Coturnix japonica: one gene and its partner. The protein of the gene in region 1 interacts with the protein of each later gene in a pairwise test. Links are inferred from orthologs where the notes say so. Each region holds a gene or a part of one and is shown on either strand. Other genes may lie near its edges.

Region 1 (4,133 bases):
TAATTATGACCTGGAATTAAAATGATAGTTTTTTTGTTTTTCTTCTTTCTTTTTCACCTATAAGAAGACAGCCAGTTCCAGAAGATTTCAAAGCACTGTTATTGAATGGCATCACACTTTCTGCTTTATGATCACTGAAAGGTGTGAAGAGGCAGAAAAGAAAACCCTGTGCTAATTTTCAGACGCTTTGTTCTGCTGTTCCTTTCAGGGCTGCACAGCAAGTGTTGGAGCACTGCTGCTACCTACAGGTCTGCTCTGTGCAGCGCTCAAAGCCAACACTAATGCAATGCGTGAAGATTTTGTGCTTGGGAAGAGACCTACACCCCGACACTACAGCCTGTTGGCTTTTGTGAAATGTGAACTGGCAATGTGGAGCCTTCCTGCCTTGTGGCTAAAGCATGTAAGAAAAACCAAACCTGCATAGACCCGATTAAACAGAAGGCAGATCCATGCTGCATGACAGTTCAGTTTCTACTTTCATTTCTTTCTGTAAACAAAGAGGAAATGTTGCACTCCCAGATGTAATGTAAGAGGAAGCATCTGCACCGAGAGGGGAACCCTCACCCACCACAGCCACCAATGCACAGAATATGCAGGGGGACTGGAAAATACCTTCTGGTATGAAGGCTGAAATGTTAAGATAACCTGTGATATAATTAGAACTTGCTAAAATTTAGTTGTGACTTGTCACTGTTTGGAATTTATGTCATCTCTTTTTTGTCTTTTTAATTCTCTTACTCTCTTAGTAACACAGGCAAACAAGATAACCTGAAGTGGACTCGGCAGAAGCATTACTGAAAACAAAGTAAGCAGCTTTCAGAATAGGAGACCAAAACAAATATAAGCAAACCATGGAGATGTCAAAAGCTCCTATTTATCTGAAAGTCATAGACTTCAGGATCAAATTACCAGAGAGAATATTAGATCATAGGCTTTAAGAGATGGAGGAAGGGACAAATGCAGGCAGAGGTAGTAAGGGAAGGAAAAGTTAATTGATGAAGTTGTCTATAGCTGAATGCTTCGTTGACAGTATGAATGGTCAGGCAAAGGAGAAGAAAATCCTGCAGCCAGGGAAAGCACGATTAGAAACTGCAAACTTCCTAAGTTTCCTATTGCTGTTTCTAAGAGATAACCAGCGGGATCTCTCTAAAATTCACGCGGAGAAGAATGACAAGTCGCCGTAGAAACCAGTTATCGCCAAACACGCAGCTACCAGCGTGAAACAGCTCAGGAAACTGAGGGCTGAACGGTCGCAGCGCTGTAGTACAGCCCGCACGGAGCCGCCCCGCTCCGGCCCTCCCCGAAACGATGCGGCCGCTGAGGGGCCGGCACCGCCCGGAGGCACCGCCCGCACTTACCAGCGCCACACGGAGGCGGCCGCGGGCACGAGGTGTCACCGGGTGCGACGATGACCGAGGGCCGGGAGCCGGCCGCTCATCTGGACGAGGAGCTGCGGGCGCTGGGGTAAGCGGCGGCGGCGCGGGGGTCCGCACCGAAATGGCGTCCATGTGCACCCCGACCCGCGACCGGGGGGCGGCTGAGGGGCGCGGGGATCCCCGCGCAAAATGGCGGCCGCGGGGCAGCCGGCCTTAGTTCTGGCTTCGTTCGGAACGGCCGGGGGTAAACGGACGGCGGCGTGTTATAACGAGCGCCCCTCAGGGCTCAGCCCCGGGACGGAAGGCTGAGGATGCTGGCACGCCGCAGGTGTGAAGTATAAACTATTAGCAAAACAGGCAGGTGCTTCAAACATAACCAGGGGGCTGTGGCTCCTCCAAGATGTGGCAGATTCCCCTCCATCAGGGAGACCTTTCTTGTGCTGTTCTTCCCATGTGAGACCAGGGAAGGGAATTTTTTGGGGGGCATTGGCCACCTGCTCATCCAGCATCCAAGGCAGCACCTCCAGAGCTGGACCGCCTTCTCCAGGCGTGCTGGGCCCTGGTCAGCCAGCAGCACAGCCCGGGGGGCAATAAGCTGTTCCCTGGCTTCAGCTGCAGGCACCCTGGGAAGGTGCCACCCTCACCCCAAAACAAAGCCCAGCAGCAAAAAGAAGCCGCAGGTTGCTGTGGGTCCAGCTCCCTTCCCACCACTGGCCAGGTGACTTGGCTCGCCCACTTGCCAGCTCCAGATAGTTTTGCTTTCCACACCCAGAAGGCTAGCAGAAGTTTTTCCACAGACAGCATTGTCACAGAGGGGAAGAAGTAGAGGGTGGGGAGCAGCACTGCACAACCAGGAAGGGAAGGGTCTGTGGTAGCAAAGATCTTCACTTAGTAAAGATCTTCACTTAGTGAAGAGCTTGGGCTGCAAAGAGTTGGAATTGCCATCTCCATGCAGCTTATCGTTTTCCATATTTGAAAGCACCTGTTAATGAAGTGGCTGTTGTTGAAGCATCTAACAATGAGGTAAAGTCACTTTTGTAATGGTAGCCAGTGTGCGTTATTTGCATTCCCTGCATAGCTGTAAGATTTCTCTCATGAAAAAATAAAAAATTCAGGGGAAAAAAAAGGTTGAGTTGCAACTGCTATGAAAAATGTGGTTCCAAATTGCTAAACTTCTGTTCATTTAGACTAGATGGCTTGAGATTATCTAAACCAGTGAGCTATGCTCATCGATTGCTTTGCTTGTTTCAATGTTGATCCTAATTGATGGGCCCATGGGATTGCAGCTCAGTGTGGTACAAGGAAGAAAAGACAACTCAGTGAGAAAGCTACCCAGATCCATTTTTAAGCTGAAGCTTATTTATTTTATTTCTGCTTTAGAGGAAAATATACACTTTTCATCCTTCTACAAAGTACCAGCCATCCCCTTAATACAATGCACTGAACTAAATGAACTAAAACTGAACAAGCAATTCCAAGCAAGGACTCCCTACAGATGACTAGATAAAACCTTTTTTTTCTAGCGTGAAGTTGAATTTTATTTATTTACTTATTTATTTTTTAAAGAGGAAAAAATCTCACAAACCTAACACGGTCTAAAAGATATCAATGGAAGTACTTTTTCACTCCCCAGACATTAACATTCAATATTTTCCCCCCTTAACGTTAGTCTCTGGTGCTATGACAGTGATGGGCTCCCTTATATCCGACATAGTATCTAGCACAACCGAGTCTTAGTTCCAGTGAGGAATATATATCATTGCCATAGTAAAGACCAACAGAGAAAGGACTCGTTCAAATGGGGAGCAGCTTTGATGCTTGTCTGTCTATTGGGGCAAACTGAAGTGGGTTATTTTAGACCTTCTGTTTCGCTGTGCAGAATTCAAAGAAGCTGGAGGAGGTTTGAAGAAGTGTGATAAGGGAAGCGTTTTAAGGGGAAAGATATGGGTGACAGAATAATCTCAGTTTACCAGATCAGCTGGTTATCAGGACGGAAAGTTGACGGCCATGCAGATAGGTTTTGTACTATATACTCATCTGACACTCTGCTGGGCTTGGAGGATCTGGTATTTGCTGGGCTTGTCTAGATTGAATTACATTGTAATTACTGCTTAGTTGAGAGCAAGGCAGGAAGGAGAATGATAAAGTCAATATACTCAAATCCTCATCTTATTTTGTCCTCATTAGGAGTATACCATCCATCACTAATCAATGGAAAAAAATTAACAATCCAAGTTATCTTTAGGAGTAATCCTAGTCACCGAGAGATCTAGGCATATCTACAGCTGGTTTATCAAGTTGTATCACTGCTTTCAAGAGCCTCAGTATTTATTAACGTGAACTTTTGGGGCCTTTCCATGAAAACAAAAGATTTCAAGTGTGATGGAGTTGGCGTTTTTCTTCCCTGTTTTAAACTGTTCATTCGCTCATGCTGTCTGAGGGAAGATGGTACCTTGTTTATTGGGAGCCCTCTGCACTGTTTGAGAGGTTTAGTGGTCAGATAGTCAAACTCAAAGGGGAAATCCAGAATACTGTCAGCATCGTTGTCAAGGTGTTCATAGGTGGAACCACCACCGAAAGGAAGATCAAAATCAAAACACTTGTTAAAAAACACATTACCTCATTAATTACTTCTCTAAGTGTACGGACTCTAAAAGGGAGCTTTGAAGCTTTTCAAGAGATATGTATATTGGTTTAAAGGAGAAAGAAACTGACATGATTCTCCTTATGAGGTCTGCATGGATGACTGGAGTCAGC
Region 2 (4,243 bases), on another chromosome or scaffold:
ACGAATAAAGTATTTTGTTCTCAAGACTATCGCGGCTGTCAGTGTGCTCCTGCTCTGACTGTGTCTCATGGACTTGAGTGGCACCTCCAGAGACGCATCAGCTGTAAGTTGGCACCTGAACTTGTCTTCTGCCAGCTCTATAATGAAGGGGAGAATCTTAAGTTGCACAGAACAAGGAAAGGAAAAAGCAAAGGGCATAACAGTGCTCCAGGTGCTTCACTGCAACGTGTCAGGTTTTTCTCTATTAGCAGCTGCTTCAAGATAAATACAGATGCTGTTTTGGTTCCCTTAATTTCTCCAGCAGCTGAGAGACGGCCACAAGCACCAGCTACCATCAACCAAAGACTTTCTACCTTGATGTGACAGTGTTTAAAAGCAAACAAACAAAGAGAAAAGGCCACGTAGCCATTGCTTCAAAAGTTTATGGGAGTCAGGGGTAATAGCAGTTAATGCAGGAGTACGAGCAGGTGAACCTGCTGCACTGCCAACACAGCATTTGGCACTTTAATCCCTAAAGTTCCGCTTTGTACCCCTGAAGGAATTTTGCATTGGCACATTTTATACTGATCTAATCCTGTAATGTCAACAAGGAGGAGGTTATTGCTCCTCTGTTGTGCACAGAATAGCAAAATCTAACCATGGATGGATTTTCTTCTCTTTGAGTCTCTATTAACCTGGAGCCTGTGTGCCATGATTGCCCCTTTTCCATGCTTTGAAATTGGATTGCTCAGTCTCAGCAAGGAGATGACCTTGTGTCATTAAAGCAAGAGACAAATCTGCGTGCCCCAAGGGCAAAGGATACTGTAGATGAGAGCTGTCTGCTCCACCACACATAGCGTGTACCATATTTAAAGTGCACCCATATGCAGACAGTTAGGGTTAGTGTCATTTGGAGTAAAATAAAGGAGCTTTTTAGCACTAGGTTAACCTCCAGAAGGCAAATATCTGTCAAGTATTCCCCTAAACAACCCATAGGGGTGTAGTGTCCAATTCACCCATCTGTGGGAAGACTCCAAGGGACACCAGATGTAATTGCAGCCATTCTGTCCGAAACCACAGTGTCTATATTAAACGATTTGCAGAATGAGCCACACTTTGTGTACAGGGTCTTTAACAGTTTCTTGTAAGTGAAAACAGGCACTGAATACTTGAGATAGGAAATCCTGGCAGGCTACCGAGCTCACTGAGACAACCTTCAGCAAAGCGCATGCACTTCCAGCTCTTCCCTTCTTGGGGTTTTGTTTTGTTCTGCAACTATGTTACTCTACTGGGAGCAACAAGGGATGGCAGCTCAGCAGCATTCATGGTCATAACTTGGATACTGTTTCTTTCTCTAGTACGTGAGACGCTATGAAACACTGAAGGTTACAAAAGGTTTTGCAACTCTTTAAGGAGTTTTTGCAGCCACCCGCTGTGCTCGCGGCCCGGCCCCGCGCTGCTGGTCGGTGCCGGCGGAGGGCGGTAGCGGCCTGCTCGGTGCCGGCTCCTCCCCGGCCTGTTCCGCAGCGAACGGGGCGGCATGTGGAGGCCGGGGGCGGCCGCTGCTGTGCGTGCGGCACGGCGTGTGGCGGCGGCAGCGCGGCGGAGGAGCGGTGGCCCCGGGGAGGCCTCGAGGGCGGGGGCAGCAGCCGCGGTCCGCAGCCGGGCGGTGAGTGAGTGAGAGCGGGCGGCGGCGGCGGACGGGAGCGGTCTGCGCCCAGGGCGGGAGGGGGCGAGCTGGCGGCGCCGGGCCGGGCGGGGTGCTGCCGGTCCCGGGGCGGGGAAGGCGCGGCGCCGGGCCGGGCGCTTCCTCCAGCCCCTGCGGTCGCCCAGGCACGGGGCCAGCCGAGGCCTCGCCGGGCCCGCCTCTCCGCTAGGCCGGGGCTGCTGGCAGCTTCCATGGCACCGGGTGCAGCCGTCGGGAGTGAGAGCAGCGATGGAGCCGCAGCCTCGTGGCCTGACCCTGAGGGCTGGAGTGGGCCCGTGGGTTTGGGCCCCGAGAGCATCGAAAACGCGGAGGGGTCGCAGTGTCCTTTATGGGCCGTCGGGGTTGCGGTGGCACGGGACGGTGCTGTGCTCCGTGCTGGGATCGCGGCCTGGGAGCGGCCGTGCGTCCGCAGCACCGAACCGAGCAGGGAGGAGCGTTGTTTTCCTCTCCTGAGCACGAAGAGGCGCGGCCGTGTGCCTGTTAAAACGGCATCTGCTTTTCTGCGCGGTCTGATGGCTTTCGGTGCACACGGAGTCGCCGGGTCACCCAGGAAGAAGCGCTGTCCCGGGCTGTACATGGCAGCAGGCCGGCTGTGCCTGATGGACGGCCCGTAACGGTGTGTCCTTCCCCTCAGAGGGGCTGTGCCCGGGTCACTGAAGGATTCCCTGTATAGTCCTTCCTACAGTGGCTCTGTTTGATTTGTGTGACCAATACACAGTTTGTGGTCTTCACGTTATATCTTTTAATTTCCCTTTTTCAATAGCAATTGCAGTATGCTGCGGAGGTGAGGAGCAGTGCTGTGCACTTCATGAATTTAAGAAGTACAGGAACTCTGAATGACAAAAGGTAAATTTCGTACTCAGGATATTCTAGGGATACCTGGGTGCCTGAGTTGTATCAGTGTACAAGCCCTGTCTGATCCTGATGCCCTCAGTTCTCCACACCTGTGGGGTGTTCCTGGGGCAGCCATGACTCAAGTGTCATGCAGTGTGTTTTGGCAGCTGGCTTACAAGAAACCTAAAGAAAAATACACAGAGCATTCTAGTCAGTTGAAAGACACTGAGTCACCTGGTTCATTATAACAGTTGTTTTGCCACACCTATTAGCAGAATACATGGTTTCTCCCAGTTGTCTGCTGCTGGAGATACCCACCTACATGCTCAGTTAAAAATGACTCTGCTATGGGTAGAAGAACGTAGGAGATTTGATTACGTTTGGTTAATTAAAATTATTTAGACTTTGTTCTCACTTCTTTTGCTTGCTTAAAGAGAATAACAGAAGCTGTCTCACAGATGTTGCAAACCTTAATTGTTGGCTACAAGGTGCTTTGAGACTCTCTGAAGGAGGTAATTGTAGAAGGATTAGTTCATACGCACGTTGTAAATGATGTCCTACACCTGGATTGCATTGCTGATCCCAGCTGAGAAATCTAATGCTGCATGTAGACATAGGGTTTGACACTCATGTTTCTAAAGCTGCTTGTGGCTGCATTTGGATCCTTACTGTCAAATGGTGTGTGTGCCTCAACAGGAGGTGCTTGAGTCTATTTGTGGAGCTTCAAATAGTGCTTCTTGCACATCGTTTTCATAAAAAGACTGTATTTTGAAGTCTGTGTCTGTCTTCTTGATACTCAGGGGCCATCATATCTATAAGACTGAGTATGCCATCTTTAGTTAGAGGTCTCTACTACCCAAATATTGAAATTCCACCTCCACATGTAAAGTGCATTGTAACCTCCATTACCACAAGGAAGATGACTGTTTGTGTCCTTAGAGGGAATGCTAACCGTGAAGCAGTGTTGATATTTTCCCTGTGATAAACACAGCAATGATGTACCACCTTCCCTGTTTTCCCTCCCTCCCACCATGTGACTGTGTGTTATTTGTAGCTCCTTAGATGAGACCACCTACGAAAAGCTGGCTGAAGAAACACTGGACTCCTTGGCAGATTTCTTTGAGGACCTCACGGACAAGCCTTTTACCCCAGAAGACTACGATGTCTCTTTAGGGGTATGTTGTAAAGATTGCATTAACCATTCTAATTCTAGTAGATTTTTATTTTTTACTTCAGAGGAGAGTTCTGCATCAGTCACCTTAGTGACAGCTGTTAAAATATCTTTCGTATTTATTTGTTATGGCTTTACTGCTAAAAACCTGCCTTTTGGTAAGAAGTACCTTGTGCTCTCATATAATTTGAGGATTTAAAGAAAGTTTAGCTGGCTGTGCTGGAGCAACAGAGGATGCAACATTGCAGTAGGTGGCTGCAGAAATGAGAAGCGAGTCTGCCACAGTGGGAAGGCTTCAGTCCAGTGGGACACAGGGTATCCCATAGCCTGACAATTGGAGCCTTTAGTAGGTCCCCCACTTAAATTCTTTCGCAGAGGTGACAGGCTGATTAGAAATGCCATTGTGTTTCTTTCAGGAGTTTATCAGTTTTATATAAAATGCCTGAAATGGGCCATATCTTACAGTTTCTATGTGACTTGGAGTAGACTGTGTTTCTCCCTGTACTGGCAGGTGTAACACAGGTCTTCCCTTTAACATGTTTAATCTGTTT

What was found. The genes of interacting proteins can lie anywhere in the genome.
Region 2: the proteins of DAPP1 (region 1) and FXN interact in binary tests that used the Homo sapiens proteins (3 or more experiments, as listed by UniProt). The link is inferred for Coturnix japonica from reciprocal best matches to the Homo sapiens genes DAPP1 and FXN.

The regions. Positions count from the first base shown.
Region 1 is NC_029519.1:54,061,541-54,065,673, forward strand, and holds the start of DAPP1 (dual adapter for phosphotyrosine and 3-phosphotyrosine and 3-phosphoinositide), read left to right. Parts: upstream 1-1,333; 5' UTR 1,334-1,408; coding exon 1,409-1,464; intron 1,465-1,518; exon of another isoform or gene 1,519-1,687; coding exon of another isoform or gene 1,688-1,704; intron 1,705-4,133. UniProt on the Homo sapiens protein: May act as a B-cell-associated adapter that regulates B-cell antigen receptor (BCR)-signaling downstream of PI3K.
Region 2 is NC_029547.1:31,019,279-31,023,521, forward strand, and holds the start of FXN (frataxin, mitochondrial), read left to right. Parts: upstream 1-1,443; 5' UTR 1,444-1,519; coding exon 1,520-1,648; intron 1,649-2,450; coding exon 2,451-2,533; intron 2,534-3,575; coding exon 3,576-3,696; intron 3,697-4,243.